Diceros bicornis minor: one gene and its partners. The protein of the gene in region 1 interacts with the protein of each later gene in a pairwise test. Links are inferred from orthologs where the notes say so. Each region holds a gene or a part of one and is shown in the gene's direction. Other genes may lie near its edges. The genes, in order: PCBD1, trefoil factor 3-like, HNF1A and HNF1B.

The links.
Region 2: the proteins of PCBD1 (region 1) and trefoil factor 3-like interact in binary tests that used the Homo sapiens proteins (3 or more experiments, as listed by UniProt). The two-hybrid records come from large-scale screens. The link is inferred for Diceros bicornis minor from reciprocal best matches to the Homo sapiens genes PCBD1 and TFF3.
Region 3: the proteins of PCBD1 (region 1) and HNF1A interact in binary tests that used the Homo sapiens proteins (3 or more experiments, as listed by UniProt). The link is inferred for Diceros bicornis minor from reciprocal best matches to the Homo sapiens genes PCBD1 and HNF1A.
Region 4: the proteins of PCBD1 (region 1) and HNF1B interact in binary tests that used the Homo sapiens proteins (3 or more experiments, as listed by UniProt). The link is inferred for Diceros bicornis minor from reciprocal best matches to the Homo sapiens genes PCBD1 and HNF1B.

Annotation. Positions count from the first base shown.
Region 1 is NC_080745.1:35,376,010-35,383,628, forward strand, and holds the start of PCBD1 (pterin-4-alpha-carbinolamine dehydratase), read left to right. Parts: upstream 1-4,619; 5' UTR 4,620-4,691; coding exon 4,692-4,694; intron 4,695-7,480; coding exon 7,481-7,612; intron 7,613-7,619. UniProt on the Homo sapiens protein: Involved in tetrahydrobiopterin biosynthesis. Seems to both prevent the formation of 7-pterins and accelerate the formation of quinonoid-BH2. Coactivator for HNF1A-dependent transcription.
Region 2 is NC_080766.1:42,008,008-42,015,241, reverse strand, and holds trefoil factor 3-like, read left to right. Parts: upstream 1-4,231; coding exon 4,232-4,313; intron 4,314-5,699; coding exon 5,700-5,846; intron 5,847-6,716; coding exon 6,717-6,830; intron 6,831-7,007; coding exon 7,008-7,021; downstream 7,022-7,234. UniProt on the Homo sapiens protein: Involved in the maintenance and repair of the intestinal mucosa. Promotes the mobility of epithelial cells in healing processes (motogen).
Region 3 is NC_080774.1:17,393,525-17,401,160, forward strand, and holds the start of HNF1A (hepatocyte nuclear factor 1-alpha), read left to right. Parts: upstream 1-4,627; 5' UTR 4,628-4,665; coding exon 4,666-5,003; intron 5,004-7,636. UniProt on the Homo sapiens protein: Transcriptional activator that regulates the tissue specific expression of multiple genes, especially in pancreatic islet cells and in liver. Binds to the inverted palindrome 5'-GTTAATNATTAAC-3'.
Region 4 is NC_080757.1:25,012,431-25,019,308, forward strand, and holds the start of HNF1B (hepatocyte nuclear factor 1-beta), read left to right. Parts: upstream 1-3,870; 5' UTR 3,871-3,970; coding exon 3,971-4,314; intron 4,315-6,878. UniProt on the Homo sapiens protein: Transcription factor that binds to the inverted palindrome 5'-GTTAATNATTAAC-3'. Binds to the FPC element in the cAMP regulatory unit of the PLAU gene. Transcriptional activity is increased by coactivator PCBD1.

The DNA of each region.
Region 1 (7,619 bases):
GATAAAAGCTGTCAGTGTGTGCAAACTCTGCCAGTGTCTGGGGTCCCCAGCTATTCCAGACTGATATGCCAGCACCCATCTGGCCTCCAACAATTTGTTAAAATGTTAGCTGATTTCTTCTTCCCCACTTCTATGGAGGCTGTGTGTCTCCCCCTTCCTCCCCGAGTGCTGGCACAGGGAGCCAGGCTGCACGTCTGTGTCTGTCTCTCCTTGGAGGGGCCCCCTTGGAATTCAGGCCATTTGGCTGCCCTGTGAACTCAGCTCCCTAGCAAGCTGAAGGAAAGTGATGATTTTGTAGTATATCCAAGCTTTTCTCATTGTTAGTGTGGGAGCAACACTCTTTCCAGCTTTCTACATCCCAGTGGAAGCCCAAGGCCTCCTTAGCGTCTTTGAACCCTTCCTCCCACCTTCTACTCACCTCCACTCCCAAGCTAATGCTACATGTTTTCCGTCGGTCTTAACACTCCACTTCAGGTACCAGCTTTGTTCAGAATCTATTTGTCCTGTTATCTTTCCTGTATAACAAGCCACCTCAAAATTTGGTGGCTTAAAATAAAAATGTGCTACTATTTCTCATAGTTCCGTGGGTTGCCTGGTTTCTGCTGGGCAATGTTCTCACTCGGGGTCTCGTATGTGACTGAAGTCAGAGGGCTGCTGGGGCTGAAGCCATCTGAAGGTCTGGGCAGCCAGGAAGCCCCACTCCAGTGACTGGCCATGAGTAGCAGAAGCCATAGGTGTGAACACTGGGAGTCCAGTTTCATGGGCTAACTTCCTGCCTAATGCTGCATACCAAGGGGAGCTTTCACATTTAGGTCTTAAATTTACCTAACTATAAAGTTAACAGAAGAAAAGAGAAAATATTTTTATGGTAGAGGTGGGAGGGGACTAATCAAATAAATCTTCAAAAGCATAAAATTATAAAGTAGAGAAAAAAAGATAAATCTTATTACACCAAAATATAAGATTTCTGCCAACAAAGGACACCACGAAAGAAGTTGGTATACGGATGGCTGAACGGGTGGAGATATTTGCAGTATCTAAAACTGAAAAGCAATTAATTTGTAGATAGAAACTCCCGCAAATCAACTAGAAAAAGAGCTGTAAGTTCTTAAAAATTGGCAAAGGATATTAAAAAGCAATTTACAAACAGTAAGCCCCAAATGCTAACAAGCACATGAAGAGGTGCTCAGAATCATTAGCAATCAGCAAAATGCAAAGTAAAACAGTAAGCTGTCGTTTTATACCTATTAACTTGGCAAAAATTAAAAAGTTAAATAAAGCCAAGGGTGAGGATGTCTGGGTGAGGAATGCAGGGAAATAGGAGGCCTCCCACACTGCAGGTGAGATGAGGATGGGTGCAGCCACTCCGGACAGCAGCTGGAACTATTCTGGGAAACGTACCCATGAGGCCGATTGCTGGATTTATAGGCTATGCCCATATTTAAGTTGTCTAAGAAACTTCCCACAGGCCAGGGAGCTATTTTTTGTGTGTGTGTGTGAGGAAGATCAGCCCTGAGCTAACATCCGTGCTAATCCTCCTCTTTTTGCTGAGGAAGACCGGCTCTGAGCTAACATCCATTGCCAATCCTCCTCCTTTTTCTCCCCAAAGCCCCAGTAGACGGTTGTATGTCATAGTTGCACATCCTTCTAGTTGTTGTATGTGGGACACGGCCTCAGCAAGGCTGGAGAAGCGGTGCATCGGTGCGCGCCCGGGATCCGAACTCGGGCCGCCAGTAGCTGAGTGGGCGCACTTAACCGCTAAGCCACGGGGCCGGCCCAGGCCAGGGAGCTGTTGAGTTGGAAGAGATGCTCACTGCACCATCACTTCGTTGTTTTGCCCTGCATGTGTGTGTGTGTGTGGCACACTCACGTGTTCGGGGAGGTGGTGGTAGTGGTGGGAGTTGGAAGCAACCTGAGTGTCCATCACCGGTGGAACAATAAAGCGTGGGGGATTCCCGCCATGGAATAGTAAGCTTCGGTTAGAAGCTACAGATTAAGTACACACATAGCAACGTGGATGCATATTAACTGTCCACTAACCAGTCTGTTTTGAAAGAAAAAGAATGAGATAACAGCATATAGTACTATTTAAAAAAACAAAAATACATATGGATGAAACAACAACACACATTTTATTTTTATTGTGAAATTTTTGTTGTACATTATTGTTTATCAGTCACCATATAAGTGCATCCCTTCACCCCTTGTGCCCACCTCCCCACCCCCCTTGCCCCTGGTAACCACCAAACAGTTCTATCTGTCCGTGTGTTGGTTTATCTTCCACATATGAGTGAAATCATGCACTGTTTGTTGAAAAAAACAAAAATACATATAGATGAAACAACAACACACATTTTTGCAAGAACATGTACAAACAAAAATGCATATTAACACATTAAAATGGTCACTATTGGGAGGAGAGGAATAAAAGTGGAGTTTAGGGAGAAAGGTTAATAGAAAAAAATATTTTTTAATGTTAGAGGACTTATATTACCTGACTTCAAGACTTATAAAGCTACAGTCATCAAGACAGCGTGGTACCCGCATCGAGATGGACAAATAGATCAATGGAACAGAATAGAGAATCCACAAATACACCCACACATAAACGCTCAATTGATTTTTTACAAAGGTGCAAAGGCAATTCAGTGGAGAAAGGAATAATTGAATATCCATATGCAAAAAGTGAATTTGGATTGATAAATAAATGAAAAGCAATAGGATATATTGGAGTATGTGAGGAAGCCATTTGGTTTAAAACTAATTTGGCCTGACCTTGTTTTTCCAAAAAGGCCTGACATGGCCTGTTGAGCATGCATTGTACATCCGCTTTAAACATTTACAGTGTCCCAAAGACAAGAATAATGCCCTTAAAGATAGGGATGTGGCTTTCCCCCCATGTCAGCATTTCTTTAAGCAGAAGCATCTCTTCCTAGAAACTAAGGATTGATTACCCACCCGCTGTGCTCACCGCGTGACCACTGACCTGCTGTGCTAGCTAAGCATCTTGTGAGAGTAGTAAAAAAGATATTCCCGTCATATGTGATGTATGCTCTTTGTTCCAAGACAGTATTTAATCACTCTGTACACTCCTCTTCTTTGGTGTGCTTCCTTCCTTGGGTAAGGAAGCCCCTGGCCTATAGTCCTCAGACCTGGCTCATAACAAACTCACCCCAATTTTGATTTATAGACTGATTACAGATTATTTGCGTCGACAGGATCCATAACTCAAAGCATATAAAAAATTAACTTAAAATGGATCATAAACCTAAATGTAAAACCAAAAACTAGAAAACATAAGAGAAAAATATTTGTGACCTTGGGTTAGGCAAAGTTTCTTAGTTACAACACCAAAATATCAATCTATAAAAGAAACATTTGTTAAATGGGATTTCATCAAAATGAAGAACATTTGCTCTTTGAAAGACACTGTGAGAATACAAAGACAATACGTGCAAACCATAAATCTGATAAAGTGCTTGTATCCACAATAAAGAACTCTCAAAATCCAATAAGAAAACAAACAACTCAAATTTTAAAAAATGGGCAGGAAATTTGAACAGGCAATTTATCAAAGACGTACCAATGGCAAAAAAGCACATGACAAGGTGTTCAATATCATTAGTCATTAAGGAAACTCAAACTAAAGCCACAATGAGATACCACTACACACCAATTAGATCGGCTAAAATTAAAAGAACTGACCCAATCAAGTAGTGGGGCAGCTGTGAGGGTGCGAGGGAACTAGACCTCTCCTGCACCGTTGGTGGGAGTGCAAAACGGTACAACCACTTGGAGAAGCGGTTTGGCAGTTTCCTAACAAGTTTTAAACATACACCTGCCATATGACCTGGCCATTCCACTCCTAGGCATTTACCCAAGAAAAATGAAAGTGTATATCTACACAAAGACTCCTATGCAAAAGTTCATAGCATAGTCAAAAACTGGAAACAACCCAAACGTCCATCAAGTGAATGGATAAACAACTTGTGGCATATCCAATACAATGTACTATTATAAAATAGATTTTACTTAGCCATAAAAAGGAAGAAACGATTGATATATGCAATGACATGAGTGAACCACAAAGTAATTATGCTGAGTGAAAGAAGCCAGACACAAAAAGAGTATAAACCGTAGGATTTCTATTTACACAGAATTCTAGAAAATGCAATCTAATCTAGAGTGACCAGAAGCAGATCAATGGCTGTCTGAGGATGGAGAAGGAAACTTTTAGGGGTGATGGATGTGTTCATGATCTTGATCCTGGTGATGGTTGCACGGGAGCATATGTATGTCAAAACGCATCAAATTGTACACTTTAAATACGTGCAGTTTACTGCAGGACAATACCTCGATAAGGTGTTTTTAAAAAAGAAAACGGTAATCTCGCGCCCAGGGTTACACAGTTGGTAAGTGGTAGAGCACGATTCACAAGCAGAAGTCCGCATTTGGAGCCGGCGTACTTAACCTCTGAGCCCCCGGTAACAGCACCCAGGAAAGTGCCGGAAGGGAGCAGAGGCCGAGCGCGCGGCCGCGGCCCGAGTTAAAGATTACCGCTGGGCGGCCCCTCCCCGGCCGCGGCCCCGCCCCGGGGCGGCCCCGCCCGACGGCTGCCCAGGGCGCCCCGCGCCGCGCCCGCCTTCGCCGCCGCCACCTGCCGCCCGCCCGCGTCCGCGCAGCGCCCCGACATGGTGAGGGGGTCGCGTGCCGCCGCCACCGGGGCAGCCCCGTTGGGAACGGGCGCGTGGGAGGGCCGGAGGAGAGGCAGGGGTCCGCGCGGGGTCCCCGCCCAGGCCGGCCGCGCGGGCGGGGCGGGGGTGGGGTGAGGGTCCCTCCCAGCCCCTGGCAGACCAGCCGCCGCCGGCCTTGGAGAGTGGGGGTCTCCGCCCCGCTCCCACCCGCGGTGGTGCCCCGGGAAAGCTGAGGCCGGGAGGGGGGGCGGCAGGTCCGCGTGTCAGAGAGGCGGGAGCCCAGGCCTGCCCCTGCTCCCAGGCCAGTGTCCCCTCGGCGCCGCAATGCTGCGGGCGGGGCCTCGTGACCTCCAGGGCGTGCGTGGGGAGGGGCAGCACAGTGAGCCCGCAGATTTCGTCCCCTCGGAGGCACGGTTCTGCTCCATATTAGAGGTGGGGGACGCGTGTGTGTGAGGGGAGACCGAATGTGTGTGTTCCTCTCCGTGCCTGTCTACTGCCCTCCTCGCTTGCACGTCTGGCCACAGGGGCTGGGCCCCGACCTCAGAGCCAGCCCCTGGCTCCTGGTTTGAGGCCTGTGCCCAGCGATGGGGACATGCTTGCTCAGGATCATGCCTCCTCTGGGCTGAGCCTCCCCACAGCAGGGTCTCAGGCCCTGTGCTCAGCTTTGCTTCAACCCCGCCCCCCTGCCCTCAGCTAGGGAGGTGAAGGGGAGCCCGCGGGCAGCGAGGAGAGGATTGGCTAGACCCGGGAAGCCCTACTAAACAGCCCATTTCTGGCCCAAAAGCATTAGGAGCAGTCGGGACTCTGGTGACACCTGAGAGGGCATTTTGAAGGCTGTGGCTTGGAGGGAGGGGAGGTGGCGGGTGAGGTTGACTGTGAGGGGCACTGAGGCCCCAAGGATGGTAATCAGTAACCCCTTCCCACAGTCTCCCAGAGACAGAGGCCACCAGGCCTGACCTGTGATTTACTAAGCAAACACTACCCCTTCCCCCCTCTCTGATCCCAGATCTCAGAGGGGCTTGTCAGTTCAGTACCCAGATGTGAAACTTGGGGGATTCCAGAAGACTCTGAAGAGAAGGGGAGGCCTCCTAGGAGCTCACTAGTACCCACGCACTGCTTTCAGAGCCAGAGAACTAAACAGTGGGTTCTGATGCCTCGGCTGATGTCTGGTCATCCAGCCGGTTGCCTGGATACATGGACCAGGCTTATCAGCCACTGAGAAAGGGCCAGCTGTGGAACAGAGATGGGGATGGGCGCGTGATGCAGATCTCTGCTGCCGGCTCTAGCCTTCCGGAACTGAGAAGACGGACGAACCAGATCAGTCCAGAGAGAACAGGCGTTTTCAGGAGGAAGGAAAAGATTGACTTAAGAGTGCCGCCATGCTTCTGCAGTTCTGCCCCAACCTGCAGGGCCCATGGTAGCCTGCCTGCCCCAGGGAGTCTCCTTTTAACAATGCAGATGACATTCCTTACTAACCGTGGAGTTGACTGAGTGTCCCACTGGCTCCTCCTGCTGCTCTGTGGAGTGGAAGTTCTTGTCCCATTTTACCCAAGAAGCCAAGAGAGATGAGTGCCACCGGGTCACCTGGCTGGAGAGTGGCAGAACTGGGGCCTGAACCAGTCCTGCCAACCCACCCTGCAGCTTCCAGTCCGCGGTCTGCCTCATGAAAGCTAGATGAACTCCCTCGATTCTCGCGCAGAGCTTATTGATGGTTTTTAATTTAGCCCTCTACAGCTTCTGTCCTTGGGTCGTTGTTTCAGGAGCCTAAATTCTGCGATCCCTTAAGCTCCTGGACCTGGCTCCTCCCAGAGGGTGGAACTGACCTTTGCTTCCTTCGGTTCTCTGAGGCTCCGCTCATGGCCTCAACTGGGCCAGTTTGTGCCAAGGGCCGTCACGGCTGCCCAGTAGGTACATAGGATGGGGCACTAGGTTTGCCAGTTGTCCTTGGCCAAGTGACTTCCCCTTTTGGGACTGAGCTCTGTGGCTCGGGCATCCCAAGCCGACAGAACAGAAAAGAAGGTGGAAATCAGAGAAGCCTAGGCCTGGCTGCTGGGAAGCAGAGGCTGCATAGGAGCGTGATGGAGGACCCACTGGGAGGTAGTGCCCATGGGTGTCAACTGCAGCATGGCTAAGAATTACCTGGAACGTGTTTTAGGTGCTGGTTCCTTGGCCTGGCCGCAGGCATGCGGACACACATACCCACCTTGAGAACGATGCCTGTGCCCTCCCTGACCAGGGGTGAGGGGGTAGGAGAAGAGTGGTCAGTTCCCCTCTCTGGCCTCTTTCCTCTTCCATACAGCTGACAGTGAAAAACAGTAGGGGCGTGGGGTGGACTGGATAAGGTCCATAATAGAAAAAGACGGTTGGACTGTCGGGGGACTCTTTCTGAAAGGTTGTGTTGTAACACGTACACATTTGGGCTTGATTTTGCTTTTACTCCCTCATTAACGTAAGAGACCTATTTTTGGGGGTGGCGGGGGGGCCTCTGTAAGGCTTTGGGGGCAGGGGGAGGGGAGGAGTGTTTCTCAGTCCCGATGTTTGCATTACACCTCAGGATTTTCTGTGCTCTGAGTGGGGTGTACAATCTAAGAACCTATCAGTGTGTGAGCCAGGGCGCCACCCTCCACACCTCCCAGTTTGTTGCTTTAGACCAGCTGCCCTTTGACTGTGTCACCAGCGTCCAGAGCAGCGAGTAGAGGCTGGCTAAATTTCCCCAAAGGTCTGGGGCCCTTTCTTTTGTCCTGTAAAAAGAAATGCCCTTGGGCTCTGTGTTTTTCCTCTCCTAGGCTGGCAAAGCACACAGGCTAAGCGCTGAGGAGAGGGACCAGCTGCTGCCAAACCTGAGGGCTGTGGGGTGGAATGAGCTGGAAGGCCGAGATGCCATCTTCAAGCAGTTCCATTTCAAAGATTTCAATAGGGTATGGC
Region 2 (7,234 bases), on another chromosome or scaffold:
CCTGCAACAACCCTATTCCAAAGAAAGCCATGCTCTGAGGTTCCAGGAAGGACATGGGTATGGGGAGGACACAATCCATCCCAGCACACTTGGAAGTCACTTAGTGACAATGGCTTGATTCAAAGGGAAGAAATCTGAAGCCCAAGAGCGCGGTGGCCTGTCCATCTGGGCTGCAGGCTGGTGGGAGGATCGGCTCCCTGGGGTCTCCCGCCACTGCCTGGGACTTTTGTACAATGCTGCCTGCACCATGGGGTTTCAGGGACAGTCTTCCACCTTTCCTGGCTGTCCTCCTAGGACACGGCTCAGTGCAGGGCCGTGGGCGTTCATCAGGCAAGAGTTGAGGGCTTATCCGGGTCCCATTACAGTGTGCTGTGAGGAGCTCAGCTCCCTGCTGGTCATCTGAGTCCAAAAGGCAGGGTTGTCAGTGTGGGGCCTCGTGCCCCCGGGCACATCTGCTCCCCGGTTATCAGCTCTGTTTATTTCCGACTTATCTCTGCTCTTGCGGTGTCCTGGTCCTCTGCTGACTCATTCCTGGAAACCCTTCCTTGTCGTAACAGCACCTGGGACTGATGCAATAATTCCAAACCCGAAGAAGCTCTGGATCTAGAGGTCACTGTGGCAGGAACCACCCAAATCCACCTGCATCTGGACCTCAGTGTCCCCTGAACACCCGGGGCCGTCACACGCCCCCCGTACGTGGTAGGACGGGCACTGGCCCCGTATTGGGGGCAGGAGACCCAGGGTCCATGAGGGGCTTCCTAGGGCCCACGGCCTCCGTCCTGACTCACCGGGACTCTCTGTCCTCTCCCCTGCCTCCTCCACAGTTGGTGAGTGACATGTTTGCATGGCCTAATCCCCCCTCCCCTATTTGTCCTCAGTGGAAATCACCCCAAAACACAGGAGCATCCCTGAATAGGTCACTAAGAATGCTTCCCCAAAACATCTATGCTCAGGTCCTGGTTGCTCAGGAAGGATCCGGCAGGAGGAAACTGCGGGGAACACAGGAGGGGCCTGCACCCGAGGCAGCTGCAGAACGATTTGACAGCTGGTCAGCAGGCAGCTCCCCGGGGAGGCATGTGACCCCAGGACCAGCCCAGGGATGTCGATTAGCTGAACCCTTCTTCCATCTGGCTTTCTACTGGCTTGAGTAACCAAGAGTGACAGTATGAGAAAGCTGAGAGGTGACGTGGAATGTATAACCCTGTAGACGCCACATTGACTCTATATTTCCCCGGGGGTGGTCAGTTAGTGGCCCCTGACTGGAATGCCCTTCTGACCCTCACCCATCTGTGAACTCCTACTCATCCCTCAAGATCCAGTTCAGACATCACCCCCCATGAGATGACTGCAGCGTAGCATCCTGCCAGCCCTGGTCGCTTTACATCACAATTCATGCTTCAAGGCTTGTTCTCCCTCTCGGGGCTGTGGGCTCGGAGGTCAGGGACTCTGCCTGGCGTCCTTAGAGCCCAGCACTCACAGGCCATCTGTCTGGCCCGTGATCCGCACGCAGCCCGTGCTTGTCACGTATATGTGCCGATGGTCATGCATCCCGCAGGTGGGAGGTTGCAGGCCCAGCACTGAGGGCCAGAGCACCTGCTTCTTGGATCCACCCAGGAGGCCCTCGCTTTCCTGGGACACCAGCTCCCACAGCAGGGGAGGGCTCCCAGGACAGTCCAGGCAGAGACGCGGCTGCAGAGGAGGAGGAAGGAGAGAGCCTCCAGCAGGCACCAGAGCATGTTCACCTCAGGTTTAGGGGTGTGCACGGCAGCCAGCTCTCAGGGTGGGGCCAATGACTGGTGACCCCGGGGCCGGCAGCTTCATCCCTGGAACTTGAACTCCCCACTCAGGGACAAGGAGGCTGGGAAGGCTACGGGACTGTGAGCCCTGGAAGCCAGTGTGGGCATCCTCTGCCCCTGGTGGGGAGCCCGGGGTTCCTGGGTCGAGGGCTCACTGGAGCAGAAGCAAGGGGCCACATAAAGACTTTCCCCACAAATACTACCTCAATTGCTCTGGGCTCCCAAGCCCGGCTCAAGCCCCTGTCCTCTAAGATGTCTGTGCTGTTCCCACCTTGTGGAATCCAGCTCCTCCCCACCACCGCCATGCCACAGCTGCCACATCTGTCGGACCCGGGGGTCCGGGAGCCCGGACCCTGGCAGGTGGTCTGTGTGTGTCCCTGGCGCCCAGCTGGGCTCTGTGGCACCCTAGTGGGCTAGGCACTAGGTGGGGGTGAGGAAACGGAGGCACAAGCGGTGAAGTGACTTGGGACCACGTCTCTCGGCCTCTCTGTCATAACTACAACATGACCTCGTCTCCCCATTGGGGACTCTTCAAGGACAGGGATTTGTCACCTTCCTTAGTCCTTCCTCAGCCCCAAGCCCCAGGCTCAATCGACGTTAACTGAGTTACACTGAAGTCAAACACCAGGGGGTGGTCCTCTGCGCTGGCTGCCCAGCAGAATTCAGGTGTCCCTGAATTGCCAGCCTGGGCAGGCAGGGCCTGGTGTCCACACTGCCCCAGCTCTCCAGGTGACGCTAAGGGCAGCCAGGTGGAGACCCGGGCACTCTGAGATACTCCCTGATGGGGCAGCCTTCAGATAACTGTCCCTTCTAAGCCCGTTTCTGGGGTGTTTGCTCTTTTCCTGGAACCTGGCCGGGATCCACAACCTGGCCTGGCCTGGGGGTATTTTGGGGGGTGGGTACGCAGGAGGGAGGGTCTGGCCAGAAAAGGTCCCACTTCCCCTAGGACGATCTTTTCAGTAACATAAACATGGTGCCATCTTTTAGCTTGGGTGCCCTCTCTCCCTCTGGGAAGAAAGCACATGTCCTGCAAACAGCACAGAAATTGCTCTGCCTTCACCCCTGCACTTGTCTTGGAAGGAGTGGCAAACCAGATGGCGAGTGTCACCTCAAATGGATTCATCAAGGGCTCACTGAGTACAAGGGGCTGGGCCTGGGGAGTCCCAAAGTGGGACACGGTCCTTGTCTCCAAGGCGTGTACAGTCTGGACCCATTGGTCTCTCGGTGAAGGACAGCTATGTGGATGAACCCTTGATTGGTTCAGGTCCCTCCAACACCAGACCCCCACCGGAGGCTATGTTTGACCAGCCAGGTGCACCTGCTTCTGGGATGACACACAAAGTCCACTTTGAGGTTCTGGAAGAGTTACTGGGTATCATCAGTGCTGAAGAGATGGATAGGAGTGCCCTAGGCAGAAAAGAAAGATGGGGAACCCGACAGTCACCAGGACTCCACACTCTCCTGCTCTCACTGGTCAGCCAGCAGGGGGGGGCGGGTGCTGGGCACGGGGAGTTGAGACTTAGGATCCTGTAGAGGCAGGTTCAAACCCAGCTCCCTCAGGTCGACCAGAGTAACCTTTGACACCCACCTTCAACTTGGAGCCTTAGTTCCTCCAGAAAATTCCCATCTCATTTAGATATGCTGTTATAAAACAATTTCCAAGGTACAGCTTTCCAAGCTGAGCAAAGGTAGTGAGTTCCCATTTGTGTTAAAAATGTGCTCAGATCTAGAGAGAACATTTCTGGAAAAACACCAGAAAAACACTTCTGGACATGAGGTGTGTCTTTTGTATTGTCTGATTTTAAAAACCAACTGCACGTATTATTTTTGTTAAAATGTATTGAATAAGATTACTTAGTATATTTATTAAAATGTAGTTAACAATAAAAATATTTTGTTGCTGGAAAAAAGCAAACAGGAGAGGAATATTCGCCTCTCAAGAGTCCAGAGAGAGCCATCCGTGGGCACAGCCCACCTGACTCAAGGTCGTCACCTGTCTTTTCAAGCACCCAGGGCTGATCTGGGGTTAAGTGGCCTGGGAACTCTTGTCATTAGTAGGGAAACTTCTGGACTGCTCCTGGGTGGGTTGTTGGGACTGACGCCCAGCCCCACACTGTGCCTTTACCCTTTCCTCCAGGCCAGGCTAACCGGGGCATTGACAGCCTGCTCCCTGAGAGAGAGGTGCTAACCCGGAGTCTGGAACCCACAGTTGCCCCTTGCTTGCTACCAAAACGGTAGGATGGAACCACCCTCTCTGCTTTGGGATAGAAGAACCTCTGGGGGCTTCACAGTCTGTGCAGGGGAAAGGCAGGCGGGGCCCAGAGCCAGAGGGAAGGGCTGTCCCCAACAAACAGAATCCGGGTGCTTGTGCAAACACAGGGGTATAAATGAGTCTTCTTGGCTGACCTGGCATGTCCTCTGAGCCCGCCCGTGACATGGAGGCCAGAGTGCTGTGGCTGCTGGTGGCGGTCCTGGCCTGCGGGTTCTCCAGGTTGGCCGGGGAGTACGTGGGCCTGTGTGAGTATGCCTCTGACTGCCTCCACCCTGCAGCAGGGAGGGGCCCTGTGGGTGGCTGGGTGGACTCACATGACGAGGGGGAGGGACGCAGAAGATGCAGGCCCAGGGGCTTTCTGAGTGCTTGAGGAATGTGGCCAGGCCCCCATGTTGATTCAATAATTGCCATTTAGCAGTCACACACATCTTCTCTCAACAGCCCTACAAAACTGGGTCTTGCTGTCCCCACGTGACAGACAAGAAAAGTGAGACTCATGAAGGTCCATAACTGACCAGAAGCAGCCGTCCTGGTCAGTGCTGAAACCAGGATTCCCCCAGGTCTGCCTGGCCGGCAGCCGACGCCCAACCCCACCTCCCACTGCCGTCTTTGCCAGAGATTTCTGAATCGCAACAAAGATCTTTATTCATGGTTTTGGCTCACTTACAAAACAAGAAGGAAAGACAAATGAAAGTGATTATTTCCAGAACGTTTCAATACCTACAAACAATTTTCATGTAGCTATTACATTGCAACTCTAGATGGGGGATGTGGCTGTTCCATTAACCCAGTTTAAAGAAATCAGGGTGTGGCTTTTATTGGGTTATCTACGGAGCCATGTCAGAGGCAGTGGCTCCCAAATTTGGTGCCCGTTAGAATCACCTGGAGAAGTTTTAAAACTGCCAAAGCCCAGGAGGCACGAATTCCATCAGCACGTCTGTGGTGGGAGCGGGTATCAACAACTTTTAGAGTTCCCCAGTGATCCCAACATGAGCAGATCGGGAACCACTGGAGTAGGAAATTATGGACTGGCAACAATAGAAGAAGGTTTAGGAGATTTTCATGATTTCTATTTTCCTAAGAAAAAATCCAGTTAGGTACTGAGGCAAAGTGGACTTTTGTCGAAATTCGGACATACAGGCTTGCTAGAAAAATGAGTATTGGAGACTGAAGGATGTACAGGGAAGATGTGACAAGTCAAACAATTTGGGGGTAGGGAGATGCAGAAAAGAGACAGAAAATAGATGCGTTGTGATTTTTCTATTGAAGGTTTATCTCCTATTATACTATTCATTTTTTTAAAAAGGGAGGAGGTTTTCGTTGATAAAACAGTGAAGGGGAACTTTGGACCCCTGATTCCCATGGGCCCCTGCCAGCTGGAGGGAACCCAAGCCCATCTCATACCGACTTCCTGACAAGGGGCTGGGAGCACACCAGTGAGAGAGACACCCCGGCAGATGGCCAGATTTCCTACAGAACGCTTCTCTTTAAATATTTACATGGAAAGAGGGTCCTCTGCAAGCAAACATTTGTGGGGGTGGGGGTGGGGTCACATCCTTTGAACTCAGGAGCTGGGGGAGGATGCAAACTCGCAAAACGAAGCCAAAATGACCCGGCTTTGTTCCGGACAGCTGCAAACCAGTGTGCCGTCCCGGCCGAAGACAGGGTGGACTGCGGCTACCCCGAGATCACCTCGGAGCAGTGCAACAACAGGGGCTGCTGCTTCGACTCGAGCATCCCCCGGGTGCCCTGGTGCTTTACGCCGCTGCGGGAGACAGGTGAGCCGGCCCCCGGCACCGTGTCCTTTCCGCACCCTGCAGAAGGACCTCCAGGTCCCCAGGAAGTTGCACACACCTGGGCCCTGAGCAGGACACCCACAGGCTGCCCGTTGGTGGAGGCCTCAGTCAGAGGCTTCACGCCAAGGACAGCCAGTGGCTGTCCCCCTTGTCCTCCGCTGTCCCCTTGCCGAGGGATTTGTACAAAATACAAAAGCAATCATTTAAAAAATGTGTTCAAAGTCGAGGTATTATGCAGAGGGAACTAGTTTAAAAACTATCCTGGAAAGAAACAGAAAATACCAGGTTTGGAAAGCAGGGCCGACATTCGAGGCCAGGTTCAGCAAACCACTGAGTCTCTGTCATTTGTGACGTGCCCTCGGCAGATGGCGGATAGTGGCAGTGCTGGGCACGGTGCCCTGGTGCCACTCCGCACCCCGCCATCTCCCCCCCACCCCGTGCCCACCACCTTCAGGTGTGCAGTGGGTACAGGACAACCACCCCAGGGAATCCCACGTCAGCAGTAGATGGCCATGCACACTGGTGGTTTGCTGTCCTGACTCCATCGGCCCTGCCCACCACATCTTGGGCATGGAGGTCTGCTGTAAGCCACCTGGCAGCTCAGGGGCTGGCTCACCTTCTAAGGAGATAGGTACGAAAGGCACCTTCCTGGAATCAGCACCAGAAAGGACCACTCTGGCCCTTTGTCTGGTTGATGAGGAGGGGGGCTGCATTCCAGCTGACCCTGACTCCCTGATCAATGATGGGGCCCCTGCCCAATGCCAGGGCCTCCTCCTCTTCCCAGCAAAGCCAGGCAGAGTCCAGATAAGGCCTTGGGACCAGGAGGGAAAGTTGCCTATTGCCCCTTCCCAGGCTGTCCCCATTCATTTGGCTCCTCGGCCAGGGATGACACCTACCGCTTTGAGCACTGGGCGACCCTGCCGAGGCCCATGTCATTTATCATCTGCCGCTATCCCCTGAGTCTTGGTGAGGCTTGTGGCTACTCTCCTATTTGGTGGGGGACTCAATACATCCCCAGCGACTTGGGGGAGAAGGCAGCGCTAGGCGCTGACCTTGAAGCCTGTCTTGACCTTGAGAAGCCAGGCAGCTGGTAGGGGGAGATGAGAATGCTCACGGTAATGCACGCCTGTGCTTTGTTTCCAGAATGCAACTTTTGAAGCGATGCCCACTGCCTGTGGGCACCCTGGGGTGCGACCTTCCACACTCTGGGCACCCTCCCCACGATTCTCTGCTCGTCTCTGCTTCCCTAGCAGCCTGCTCCTGGCAACCTGAAAGCTAATGTCTGGGGCCTGATGTCTTAAGGAATAAAGATCCCATACTCAGCACGGAGACGAGTCTTCATTCCTGAGACTTTATGCTGTTGTGTCTTA
Region 3 (7,636 bases), on another chromosome or scaffold:
TCAGAGAGAGCTGGGTTCAAATCCTAGCTCTGCCGTGCACTAGCTAGGCAGGATCCATATGCTCTTAGAGCCTCAGTTTCCTCATCTGTAGTATGGGCTGAAAGTACCTACCCCGTGAGGCTATTGAGATGTTAAATGGATGAAAATCGCATATAGCAGCGACTGTTCAATAAAGATTTAAAGGGCAGTGGGACTCGGAGGAGGAATAGTTCAAGTTTGAATACAGGTGGGCCCCGAGGTGTGGGGGGGGTGGTGGTAATCGAATTCCAAGAGTCTGAGACTGACTGACAGGGCTCAGTGTTGCCTCCCAAGGCCAAGGAGAAGCCTTACGCCTTGCCTCAACTTTGGCCTTGCAAACAGCTGCTCGCCCGGCAGGAGAGAGTGGCGATGACGCTCAGAGCTACCACTGACGGTATATCTGCTGTGTCCAAGCCCGTCCCCTGGGGCCGCAGTTCCCAAACTGTGCGCCGAGGTGCCCCTGGGCACTGCGGACTATTTTAGAGGATTTTTGAAAGGAACACAGCGCCATCTGCCGGACACCTTGCAAACTACCAGCTCAAGGTAGTTCGCGGTTTCAATGTTTGAGGAGCTTCCTTCCTTTAGATGACGTCACAGCTTTGTAAAGCTGGGTTTATGGCAGTTGTTCTGATAACAAGCAAATATCTTGCAAAAATCATTGTGGAGCAGGAAATGAGGGTGGTAACGTCCAGTCTAATTCCAAGGGTCGAGCAGTTGTGCAGAGCCCCACAAGCCCACCCACCCATAAGCACATACTTAGCATTAAGAAGGAACTAAAATATTATTTTTTTCTTTCAATTGATGTGCATTTTTCAAGCGGCTACTAAGTTGTGAGGACATGAATACTTATTAGTTGTTTTAACCTAACTACTTATAAAAGTTAACTGTTAGTTTTTTTTATAGAGGCAGGAGGTGCCGTGAAAACATCACCGAGACACTAGAGGCGCCTTGAACTGAGGGGGTTTGGAATTTCTACGTTATGCTCTTTACAACCCTGGCAGATCCATACTTCTATTTCATAGATGAGTCAGGAAAGGCTACCCAGCAGGGGTGGGGGTGGTGTGTGGGGACAGTGATTCTCAGGAAGGCAAACTGCTCTCCCAACCTGGAGTCAGTTCAGATTTGTCCCCTGACTGTGGGGAAGGGCAGCCCTTTCTGTCTGTCTGCCTCCATGTCTGCGGGGCAGCAGGGTCAGGTTGCTGATGTCCCTTCTCCTTCATCAGAGGGGGCCCCACTCAGGGCCCAGGACAATAGCCCCTGTGTGTCCTGGGAGCTGAAGTTGGGCCCTGGGGGCCTCTCTCCTTAGACCTCCTGAAGGCTCTCCCCCCACCCACTGCTGGTCCACCTCCCAACCAAACCCACCTTCAGTCCTGGAGGCACCGGCTGGGCCACTTGGCTGCAGGAGGACCTAGCAGTTCATGAGTTCAAAGTTGTGCAAAGGATCCCGCCCCACCCTTCTCCCTCTTTCTGGTTCCCTCTTCTAGGTGAAACGTCACACAGCCTCCTGGCAGGGTACGGCAAGCAGGAGCACCATGAAACCACGAAGGGACAGCACACAGCATCGCCCCTGCCCTTCAGCCTGGACTTGAGAATCCTGCCCCCAGCAGTGAGCCCCCTTACCCCAAAGCGACTCACACTGGAGGAAAAAGAAAACACTGGAAGAAAGGTGGGGTCTCCCTTTCCCAAAGGGCAACTGTCAGCATTGTCCTGCACAGTCAGACTGCCCGGCTCTGGACGCCCCTGAGCAAGCCATTGAACCCCTCTGAGCCTCTGTTTCCTCTGCTGCAGAATGGGAATAATAACAGTGCCTACTTCACAGAGTCGTTCTGAGAGTTTAATATACGACAAAGCTTAGTGCAGAGCTAAGTATACAAGGTCGGTGCACAATGAAATTTAGCTATTCATTCATTCATTCCACAAATATTTATTGAGCACCTACTAGGTACGTACGAGGCAATATTCTAGACGCTGGGAATACAGCAGTGAACGAGACAGACAAAACCCTGCCGTCAGCAGGCTTACGTTCTAGCAGAGGGAGATGGACCATAAATAACAAACCTAATACGTAAGTAAATTCTAGAGCAGTGCTGCCCAACTGAAATATAATGTGAGCCATGTTATGTAATTTAAAATTTTCCAGTAGTACCATTACGAAAGTAAAAAGAAACAGGTGAAATTAATTTTTCTAATTTTTAATTAAAAATTTTAAAATTCACCCGATATATCCAAAATATTATCATTTCAACCAGAAGGCATTAGCCACATCTCGAGTGCTCAGTAGCCACATGTGGCTGGTGGCTGCTGTGCTGGGCAGCACAGTTGTGCAGCACGTCAGAAGGTGAATGCAGAAATGAAGACGTAATTCAGTGTTGGGGGGACTGGAGCACCCCATGTGGGAGCGGACAGACTGAGAAGGGGATTTGAGCTGACAGAGAGCTCAATTATCATTGTCAACCAGCCCCCTTCCTCCCTGCTGGCCTCGCCTGGCTGCGGGAGGGTTTTCTGGCCAATAGCATCTTATCCCTTCCTCTGTCGCCAAGCCTGACCCTGGTTCTGCAGACCCCTGAAAGATGCGGACCCTCTGGACATGCCCCAGCCTGGGGGGCGGCCCCTCAGCACCACCCCGCCTGCTCCAGGAAATGGTGTGCATCCTTTGTTTTGGGGGCTTAGGGCCACCCCGGGGGACACACAGCAGGAATTTTATCAAGGCTCTGTCTGGAGGAGGGAAGAGCTGGGTGGGGGCGTGAGGGACCAGTGCTCACCCAGGGCTGGGATTGGGGGGAGGGGAGTGAGCACTGGAGCCTGGCTTTATTTAAAATGTTGATATTTTGTTCATCCCAGGTTTTTTGCATTAATTAAAAAAATATTTTTTACTGATTCATATATCATAAAATTCAGCCTTTTAAAAAGTTCACAATTTCCGTGGTTTTTACAGTTTTGTAACACCACCTAATCAATTTTGGGACATTTTCACTGTCCCCAAAGACACCCCTGACAACCACTAACCTACTTTCTGTCTCTATGGATTTGCCTTTCTGGACATTTCATAGAAATGGACTCACAATATGTGACCTTTTGTGTCTGGCTTATTTCCCTTAGCATAAGGTCTTCCAGGTTCATCCACATTGTAGCACGGATCAGCACTGCATTCCTTTTTATGGCCGAATAATATACCACTGCATGGATAGACCACATTTTATTTATCCATTCATCTGTTCATGGATATTTACGTTGTTTCTACTTTTTGGCTATTGTGAATAATGCTGCTGTGAACATTCACGTGAGAATTTCTATGTGGGCATGTGGTTTTTTTTTTTTGTGTGTGAAGAAGATCAGCCCTGAGCTAACATCCATGCCAATCCTCCTCTTTTTGCTGAGGAAGACCAGCCCTGAGCTAACATCCATGCCAATCCTCCTCTTTTTGCTGAGGAAGACTGGCCCTGAGCTAACATCTATTGCCAATTCTCCTCCTTTTTTTTCCCTTTTTTCTCCCCAAGGCCCCAGTAGACAGTTGTATGTCATAGTTGCACATCCTTCTAGTTGCTGTATGTGGGACGCCGCCTCAGCATGGCCGGAGAAGCGGTGCGTCGGTGCACGCCCGGGATCCGAACCTGGGCCGCCAGCAGCGGAGTGCACGCATTTAACCGCTAAGCCATGGGGCCGGCCCCAGTGGGCATATGTTTTTAATTCTTTTGGATTTTGCATTCATTTTGATTTTTAATATGTTGGATAAAAATATTATTTTTCTTGAATACTGAGTTTTTGGGCGCCCCCTTAAAATTCGTGTCTGACTGGCCTACCCTGTTCCCACCCTGTGTCTTGCCCCTTGCTGGCTGGGTGACTTTGGGCAAGTTGCTTACCATCTCAGAGCCTCGGTTTCCTCTTCTGTGAAATGGGTATAGTCCCCATACCTGCTCACAGCTGGGAGGGGGACACAGTGAGGTCATGACGCACGTTATAGACCAGCACATCCCTGGCACACAGTAGACTTGTGCCAGTCGACAGTCTTTCCTACGGGGAGGCCTGGCGTTGGGCCTGATGGGAGGTGGCAACATAGATGTGACCTAGCCTTGCCCTTGAGGAGAGCTGGCCCACCTGCCTGGAACACTTGCTGCTTCTGTTCCCAGGGGAAACGTGCTGTTTCTGCTCTCCTGCCTCAGCCTGACCCCCTACAAGGTCCCTGGGGATGAGATCTGATGCTGCTCACCCCAGGGCCTCCTGGGCTCCCAGCACCTTCCACCTCAGCTGCCCTGGGCCCCCACCGCCGCCTCCCCCACCCTCGCTCTGCCCACTCCCACTGCAGGCCGCGGCTCCCGGCCCTCTGCGCTGCCATGAGGCCCGCACTTTGCAGGGCTGAAGTCCAAAGTCCAGGCCCTTCGCTAAGCACACGGATGAATATGAACCTTGGAGAATTTCCCCAGCTCCAATGTAAACAGAGCGGGCAGGGGCCCTGATTCACTGGCCGCTGGGGCCAGGGTTGGGGGTTGGGGGTGCCCACAGGGCTTGGCTAGTGGGGTTTGGGGGGGTCGTGGGTGCAAGGAGCCTGGTCTGTGCCTGCCTGCTGGCCGGCGGGCAAGGAGACAGCCCACGCGGGGGAGGCGGCCAGCTCGGTGGCCCCGGGCCGCGTGGTCCAGCGGCAGAGGAGCCATGGTTTCTAAGCTGAGCCAGCTGCAGACGGAGCTCCTGGCGGCCCTGCTCGAGTCGGGCCTGAGCAAGGAGGCGCTGATCCAGGCCTTGGGGGAGCCGGGGCCCTACCTTCTGGCTGGGGATGGCCCCCTGGACAAGGGGGAGTCCTGTGGCGGCGGCGCCGGCGGCGGCCGAGGGGAGCTGGCCGAGCTGCCCAATGGGCTGGGGGAAACGAGGGGCTCCGAGGACGAGACGGACGACGATGGGGAAGACTTCACGCCGCCCATCCTCAAAGAGCTGGAGAACCTCAGCCCCGAGGAGGCGGCCCACCAGAAAGCCGTGGTGGAGACCCTGCTGCAGTAAGGCCCCTTCCCTGTGCCCGGCTCCCCAGGGGCCCACCCGCTGCTCCTGGCCGGGCCTTCTGAGGCCAGAGTTCCACGAGTGTGGCCTCGAGCCTAGTTGTCAGGAAGGGGACAGGGCCCAGGAGAGCTTGCGTGGGTGGGGGGTCCTTGCTTGAGGTTGGAGCCTCCAGGCCCGACCTGGCCTCTGCAGAGTCTGAGTCCCCACGAGCCGCGGCTTTCAGCCCAGTGCCTGGGAAGTGGGGACATGCCCCAGGGGAGCTCCGAGACGGGGAAAAGAGGGAGAATCCACATTCAAGTGCCTGGAGAACCGGGGTGGGGGGTGGAATTTTTAGCTACCACGGCCATTTCCACTCCCGAAACCCTAACTGCCCTGCTAAGCGACAGGATGCACCGCTGGGGAGGAGGGGCTGAGGCTGGGGTTTTGGGGACTCCCCAACCACCCGGCGACTCAAGCATTCAGCCAGGAAAGCCCAGATCTTTCTTACCTGAGGGAGATGGAGCCTTGGGGTGGGGGCTGCTCCTCTTTCCTGCACAGCCTCAGGCGCCATTAGAGTCCTCCCCGTTCTGTACCCCCATCCATTGGCTGGCTCCCCATCTCCCAGAGAACTGGGTGGGTCTGAGCCAGATGCTTCCCCTCTCCTCAGCAGAGCTAACCTGGTTACTAATTACCCGCAAGCTTTATTATTTCTCTTTTGTTTTATAAATTTATAAACAGCAAAAGGCTCTGATAAGGCCTGTGATCATTAACTTGGAGGGATGGTGGCCTGGGGAGCCCTGGGCCAACCAACCTCCCACTCAGTGGGGGTGGGGGATGGGGAGTGTGGGGGTGGAGGGAGGGGGGCCTGGGGGCTCAGGGACCGCCCCTCCCCAAAGGCTCCCTAACCTCCATCCTAACAGCGGGACGCTGTGCTGAAGTTTCACATGTATCATTTTGGATAATGTTGAGGTGAACCCTGGGAGGAAGCTATGGATAACTCTGCTTCGCAGACGAGGAAACTGAGGCCCGGAGAGGGGAAGCAGCTTGACTAAGGCCACCCAGCTGGGACTTCACACCCACTCTGCTTGGTGCTCTCAGTTGCCATGACTGGGGGCCAGGGACCGGCCGGGGGTGGCTGGGGGAGCTGTCTGAGGAAGAGGCCTCTCCAGGGGACCACGTCTTTTCTGTCCAAGGTCCTGATCCCAGCTTGGGGTGGGGGAGGGCTGGATCCCGCCTCAGGGAGCCCTCAGGGTCTGCCAGGCCTCGTGAGGGCCCGGGCAGCGGGCAGGGGAGCAGCCAGGGCCCCCTGACTTGGCAGGAAGAGGAGGGCAAAGGGCCCCGCTGGGCTGCAGGGGAGGGGCAAAGAGTCAGGCATCGCCAGACCTGGGACGAGGGCCACCGGGACAGGGTGGGGCTGGGCCAGACTGGCTCCGGGCCCTAGCCGGGATTGGGGGCTCTTGAGTGGGAGCGGAGGCAGAGGGTCCAAGGGCCTTTCTTACCTGGCGGGGTGGGGCCTCTTGATCAGCAGCCCCTGTGGTGGGATGGTGGGTGAGGGGGGAGGCTGGATCCACAGCGCTTGAGGGGGGAGCAGAGGTCAGAGTGCTCCCTGGGGACCAGCAGAGACCTGGAACCTGAGGGAGAGAGGGGAGGCAGGGAGGAAGAGAGAGGATGTCGGGCGAGATGGAGAGAGAGGCCTGGAGTGGCAGAGCTGAGCAGAGCAGCGGGAGGGGAGAGGGGCTCGCACCCAGCTGGGAGAAGGGGCTCGGGAGAGACTGAGGCGCCCCAAGCTGAGAGGAGGCTGGAGTGCTTCCCGCCCGCCCCGATTGGGTTTTCTTTAATGCTAACAGCATGCTATTTACTTTCCATTTAAATTTGAGATGTTGCTATAAATTATCAACCAGCTCCTTGTTCCTGCGGAGTTTATAACTAACTACCTGGGTTACTTATTGTTCAGGTAACAAAAGGGATCTGAGAACGCCTCGAGGGAGAAAAGTGGGGCCTCTAGCCTCGGGGCACCAGAAGGAGAGGGGTGGAGGACCCTCGATGAAGGCCTGGGCACTGAGGAAGGTTAAGGCTGGAAGGGATGATGCAGAGGCAGGACTGCCAGTGGAAGCCATTTCTCTGCAGAAAGTGTCTGGGAAGAGGCAGGGGTGGGTCTGGATTCCAGGCCTCCCCAGGGTGCCCCGTGCTTGAGGCCACAGCAGGAATCTGAGCTCTTCCCTTAGATTGCCACCCTTAGTTCACCCTGTGACCTTAGGCAAGTTTCTTCGCCACCTTCTGCCTCAGTTTCCCTACCTGGACAGTGAATAAAATTCAAATTCCCTGCCCTGGTTCCCTGACCTCGTTCTGAGGGACCTCCCTGCCTCACTCTCTTTCCATCAATTACACTGACTTTGCTGATTCCCACCTCAGGGCCTTTGCATGTGCTGTTCCTTCTGCCTGGAACCCTCTTTCCAGATCTTCCCATGGCTGATTTCTTCTCCTCCTTTTGCTCAAATGTCACCTCCTCAGGGAGGCCTTCCCCAACTACCCCATCTAAAGGTAGGCCCACCCCCGTCACTCTCTCGTCCACTACTTTCATTGACTTTCTCCTGTCCCTTATCATTATGTAGGATGATCTGATTTGTTTATCTGTTCATTTTCTATCTCCTGC
Region 4 (6,878 bases), on another chromosome or scaffold:
TTAGGGAACTTAAGTGGTCTTCTAGACTACCCGGTCATTTTTCAAAAGTGGAATCAGAGGCCTAGAGAAGATGCTCACCAAAGCCTTTGGGAAGGTGAAGAGTCATCCAGAAAGGAGTGTTGTATCCAGAGCTAGAACCTCAGGCTCCTAACCCTGCAGTCTAGAATGTTCCCCAGGTTACAATGCTACTTTCCAACAATAAGGCCCCTAACCTCCTTCAGACCAAGATAGGGCAGTATTTATGTTTTACTCTAGAGATGATTCATTTTGAGGCCTTCTAGAGCCTCTCTTGAATCAATGGGAAAGCTTGGAGAGTGGAGCAGCAGAGGATGGAGAGGACCAGGCTCTCCCTGCTGTAAGCAAAGCAGGGTAACCATGGAAAGTAGGGGGAAGACTGTAAGCACAAGAGCAGAAAAGTAATATCACCTATGTTGCCAAGTTATAGGAGAGGTTGACTCCACAGGAACCACATTTGCCATTCTGTGAAATTTCCAAGATGGTGCTCAGAAAACCTTCATAGAGTGACGAGCCAACTGGATTTTAAATTATCTTACACCAGGGACTACATTTCCCATAGAAAATCTTGGTATTTGAACTGTGGATTCATCATTTGAGTAGAAGAACCTAATATGGTGTCTTCAAATTCAGTAACTCTTGAAAAAACAAACTGGGAATAAAAGCATCCAAAGAGATCAACTGCATCACTTCTTTGTATGCTTTCATGATGTGCTGCTTCTTTCTAAACATGTGAGAGCCTGTCATATTCCAGGACCCTGCAGTTACTAACTCATTTAATCTTCACAAAAACACAGTAGAGTATTATTATCATTTTCTGCATAAGGAAACTAGGATCAGAAAGATTATACAATGTGCCCAAGTTGCACAACTGGTTAAGCAGATCTGAAACCCAAATTTAGGTCTGTTTGACTCCAGCGTCTGTCCTCTATTCTCTGCTGTGGATCCTCCACTTCTCCCTCATAGAATCCCCCCTTTCAACTTTCCATCTCCCAAAGCAGTAAACTAGAGACCTTCCTCTTTCATCCTAAAGTCTTGCTCAAAAGTCCAGAGCCCCAATCTCAATCCTTCCATTAATTTACTCCAGCAGCTCCAAGCCATCTCCTTAAAAAGTCCTATATCTTATTTTCTCATTTTTAAAATGGGGCTACTCTATCAGTCCATCACCACTTTATCCTATGTGAAGCATAAACAGAGTATTTCAACTGTATTCTTGCTTCTTCTGTTTGGGGGAAGTTTAACCAAAGGGTTTTATCAAATCACTCATTTAGTTAGCATTTATGACCCACATCCTGAAGGACTATCTACTGAGATACTTACACTTTTCTTTTTAAATTTCCATGTGACGGGGTAGGCGTTGAATCTGTTCACAGATCTATAGTTGCAGTTACTTGATGAGCACCCATACTACACCAGGTGGCTTAGACAAGGTAGGTCTGGGCAGGAGGATTTCAGGAAGTTGCTGGATCTGCATAACCAGATTGCCTGGAAGACATACCTGGACACTCATAGGAAGTTTCCTCGTACTCTGTGAAACTTCCTGTTTGTTCATATAGTTGGCTTAGGGTAGGGGGAAGAATGGGTTTGCTGACACCTGAATTTTGAGAGATAAGGAAGCTTGAGAGTCAGACTGGGCACACAGTAGTTAGAACTACAAATCAAAGCTTTGTTGTTAAAAGGGAAGTGATTGCTGGTTTTTTAATGGGTTTTCCCAGCTAAACACAGAAAATGATCTTCATACACTTGACTGCTTCTACCGTGATAGCAAGTGAGAGACAGAGAAGAAGAGATTGTTCTCCAGGGACATTTACTCTGAACACTTCATTATCCTGGTTGAGGGGAGCTGGGTAGGCAGAGAAGGTTCTCCCACTGGGCCAAATTGTGAGGGGCAAAGACCTGCCATATGTCACAACAAACTAGAAGACAATAAGGTGAAATGAAGGGCCTTCATTTCCATGAACTTATTACCCCTTTCTCAGGGAAAGAGAGAGTGAGAGAGCATAAACCTCCCCCAGGGCTCCCTGCACACACCCACCCCCCTTCTTTCTGCTCCCAGCACAGGTGGCCCAGGCATCTGTAGCAGACCCTGTATTTAAAGAGGCAGCCTAGCTCCTTAGCAGCCTGACTTGGATCAGTCACATCTGGAGTTTCAGCCCTCAGACACCCAAGGATTTGATCTCAAACCAAGCAGATGGGAGCGGCTGACACTTCCTCCCCACGCTGAAATTCTTCTCTTCCCCTGAAATTCCTCTCTTCCCGAAACTAACGCCAACTTCCTCCTAATTATCTTTTAAAGGTGGAAAAGGTAGGAGAATTGCTTAGAAACTCCTTTGCAAGTTCCCTGCTGATTCTAAATTTTTGTCCCTAATCTCCAAGTCCCTCCAACCCTAGCACTGGATCTGCCTGATTCTGAGAATTTCACAGGTGGTCTCATTCCATGTCCCCTGCACTGTAGGTATCAGTATTTTACAGATGAGGAAGCTGAGGCCTAGAGAGGGGAAAGGGATGCCCTCTGCCCCAGGAGCTGTGGGTCTGTGAGCGGTGGATCCTGAGAAGCCCCTTCCCCTGGTCTGCACGTCAGGTCCAGCCTGTAGGTCTAGGTGCGCCTCATGCCTCCTTCCTTTCCCCTCGGCGCCCCGGGAGATGCAGGTGAAACTCCGATCGTGCTGCAAGATTGTTCCCGACTTCTTTCCCTCCGCGGCTTTGTCGGCGCCTTCTCGACTTGCGCTTTCTCCCGCCACTGCCGCCGTGACCTCGCGTCTGCAGAGCGCCCTCCCTGGCCCTGGGAACTGCTGTGTCCTGGAGCTGGGAATAAACCAGAGATCAGTGGGCCGGGAGGACAAGCGGCTCCAACTGTCCATCCAGCCGCAGGCCAAGCTTTGCTTTCACCGCTAGAAAGGGGGCCCCGCAATCCTAGTTTTGCCCCGAAAGCGGAGGCGCTTTGATATTCCGGGTTTAAACGCGAGCGTGGCCCAGGCGTCCAGCTCTCCCGCGGCTTGGCCAGGCTGGGTGCTGGTGCAGCTCGCTGCTGGGGGAGCTAACTTTGGCTACTCCCTCTGGCCATAAATTAATCGGTGCCTCCTTCCAAGGGTTCTCTGGGCCTCCTTCCCGCTCGCCTACGCTCTCCAGGCCGGCAGTTCTGCAAACCCAAATCGCCAGACCGAGTTGGTGAGCGCAGAGCGGTACCCCAGGTAGAACTAAATGGGGTCCCTGCAATCCGCGTTCACCCCGCCGAACACCTCCCATTTCTCCCAGGTCTCTGCGTCCATTCCCAAGTGGTCAGTTTCTCCTCCGCGGGGCTGGCTCCCGGCCCACCACCTGCGTCGGTTAAGATGCCTCGGAGGGTCTCTACTCCCCGCATCCTCCTCCACCTCCTTCTCCCAAGAGCACCCCGACTTCCTCTAGCTCTCACCTGAACCCCCGAAGCGCAGTTTCTTCTTCTCGGCAGACTAAAGCCGGACCCGCAGCCTGTGGAAAAGCCCCTGCACCTTCCACGCAAGGCTGCAAGCTTACTTGCTTAACAAGTCCAAAGGTCAGCTAAAGTTTGGCTGATAAACAGAACCAGTACAAGAAGGGCCTCAGCCCCCCAGCGTGAGTACAATGGACCCTGGCAAGCCCCGCTCCCGGCCCGGGTCTCCAGCTCTCCTCGTCTGCCCCTCTTGCTCTCCCTCTCTCTCGGTTTTCCCCCTCCCCATCATCATTTGCATCTTGCCGAAAGCCGGGCCCTCCCCGCTAATTTGCATATCTTATATGGCCTAATGGTGGCGATCATGGCAAGTTAGAAGTTTTCTGACTCCTCTCGGAGGAGACTCCGGGACCCCGGAGAGTAACAGGTGTCTGGAGGCTGAAGGGTGGGGGGGTTCCTGGACTTAGGGTTCGCTTGTGAAACTCCCCTCCACCCTCCTCTCTCACACCCACCCACCCCCTCACCCCCTTCTTTTTCTGTCCTTGGAAAATGGTGTCCAAGCTCACGTCGCTCCAGCAAGAACTCCTGAGCGCCCTGCTGAGCTCTGGGGTCACCAAGGAGGTGCTGGTCCAGGCCTTGGAGGAGTTGCTGCCATCCCCGAGTTTCGGGGTGAAACTGGAGACGCTGCCCCTGTCCCCTGGGAGCGGGGCCGAGCCAGACACCAAGCCGGTCTTCCATACTCTCACCAACGGCCACTCCAAGGGCCGCTTGTCCGGAGACGAGGGCTCCGAGGACGGGGACGACTATGACACCCCTCCCATCCTCAAGGAGCTGCAGGCGCTCAATACCGAGGAGGCGGCGGAGCAGCGGGCGGAGGTGGACCGAATGCTCAGGTAGGCGCCCATCGAGGTGGGGAGTACACACCCGAGCCCCTTGAGCCCCTGGCCTTGTGCCTGAGCGACACTGCGCCAGACGACTCTCGCCAAGCCTGTTTCCCACCAGAGAAGTCCCCCGGGGGGCGCTCCGCTTCTCTCCCAACACCTGGACCCCTCCCAATCCCTCAACCGGACGGCCCGGAGCCCTGAGGCTTCATCTCCCCCTGCCCAGGCCAGAGCCTGAAACCCGAAGGGCCCTGTCGGCCGGGCTGGGGCTCGGCCTGGGAGAACCCGAGCGGCGGAGCCCTTTGCCGCGAGGTTTGCCCACGCGACTGAAGGTGCGCGTGGGTGCTGTGAAACAGCGGTGATTTCCCAGGAGCAGAGGCTCAGGCCCGCACAAGCCGCAGGCCACGCATTTCTCCCGGGCACCGTCTCTCTCTAGTCGGGGAAGCCGCAGGCCAGCCTCGGGCACCAGCGTCCTGCCGTTCTTTGCAGAGGGACAGGCGGCCCCTGGGGCCGGAATCCAGGGGGCGAGTTCTCTGGTGGGCACTCCCATCCGCAGCGCCCATGCAAGGCCCCAGGGTTATCCGGAATCCCCAAAGCCAGCTGAGATTTGCAAAAGGAAATATTTGCATGTTGTAAGGTCAGGGCGGACCCGCAAGGGGCAAAAGAAACCACATATCTAAGCAAGTCAGGGGCAAACGACCCCAGTTCGCGGCGGATTTGGTCGCAATCTAGCCGCCGACACCCCGGCGTCCCCGGGGAATTCAGGCAGGCTGGCCGGCTGTCTATCTATCGGTCCGGGATCGTTTGCTGGGCCTCTCCGACCGGCCTAGGGCTTTGACAGCTGGTTACTAATTATCCAAGGAGCCCAGCGGTTCCCTTAGACCGCACGTCGGTCCCTGCCACTCCGCTTTAGGACCGAGTCCCTCGCGTGGCCTCGGACACTTGAGCACCGCGGTTTCAAGGCAGGGCCAGGGCCGAAGTCGCGCCCGGGACTCGGGCAGTCTCGGTCGCACGCCCGCAGCGGCAGTTTGGGATGGGATATGACCTTGTATTTGAATTTGCTATTTGGGGACCCGGTGGTTTTCTCTCTAGCAAAGACAATCGGGGACTTCTAGATTTTTCCCCCCCAAAGTATTTTTGCTACAATACGTAGGTTTGGGGTTCTTCCCCGGCGGTTTCCCCGCGTGGCGGCGGTTTCTCCCCCTCCGGGGTTAGGGCAAGGAAGGTGAGGGGTCGGAAGAGGAGAGGCTGGGGCGCAGGGAGGCCCGGAGTTTGACCAGGGCCTGGCAGACTAACCGAGCTCCCGCCGCCGGCCACTGGGAGCCCGCGAGGCCTAGGCCCATCCTCTTGGCTGCAGGCGCCCGCTTTCTAGCGGGGCTCCGGGAGGATCTGAGAAGCCCGAGGCGACCTAGGGCGCCCCTCCGCACCCAGCCCCGCGCGGAGCTGGACGCAGCAGAGATGTAACATAAACTGCAGCACGTGGAGTTAGGGTGTTATTAATTTATTTCTATAAATCATCAACAGAAAGATACACAAAGAGTCGTGATTAGGTTGAAAAGAGAGGCGGGTTATTCATTGGTGAAGTTGTAAACGCGGCTTAGAGGGGGAAGGAAATCAAAACGCGGACGCGGGACTGTCCGCCGCTCCCTGCGCACTCGCACTGCGCTGCGGGGCGCTCCCAGCTAAGCCCCCCGCGCCGCCCCGAGCCCTGGCGCCCGACCCGGGCTGCCAGAGCGCCCGAGCCGCCGACACCTGCAGGCCCGGCCGGCGCAGAGCCAGGCGCGGCCCAGGGTCCCGGACCTCAGCCCTCTTCCCTCTGCAAAGCCCCGGCTCCAGCGGGGCGGGGAGGGAGGCTCGGGGGCCCGAGACCCCCGTTGGGTTGGGCACGCAGGACAGACCCAGAGGTTTTTCTCCCTTGCCCAAGCGGGTGCTGCCTTCCCTCTCCCACCTTCGGGAGCAGTCGGACTTTATTAAAGTAATTTTTCAAGAAATTGCTAGCGGTTCCCAGGTCACTGCACAGTCGGCTCCTGAGCGCCAGACACTCCCACCGCCTTTTTTGCCCACCCTGTTCCCCCCGAAAGCGGAAAGAAAAGAACAAGAAGAGGCACTTTGGGGAGCGCCTGGACGCGCTTTATACCTCCTAGAAGAGGAAGGCCAGAGAGGAAGATCGGGGCCTTTGCGCTCTCTCCCCGGGCTCCGGCCCCGGGTGAGAGCCGCCTCGCCCGGCGGCCTCTAGGCTGGCGCGCCGGTGGCCTCTGGAAAGTTGGCTGCTTCGTAGAAGCCGGAGTGGCGGCTTCTTAACGAACGCGTGGCGACCTGTGCTGGGGTCCAGGGCTTTTCTGCTCGTGGGCAGCGAAGTCATTGTTCGAAAAGGAGCGTGCTGGGCGAAAGATGCGGGCGCCGCGGCCGGGCGTTTGACACCTGCGCTCCGAGCACAATGGCCGGGCGCGCTTCTCTGGATCGGTGTGTTTTTCGGGTTGGGAACCCCCAAGCATGAGCTGTATTTTCAATAAAAAACCATAACCAGCTCTCCGGGCTCTTCCCGGCGAATACACGTGAATTCTGTGGTCGGAGAG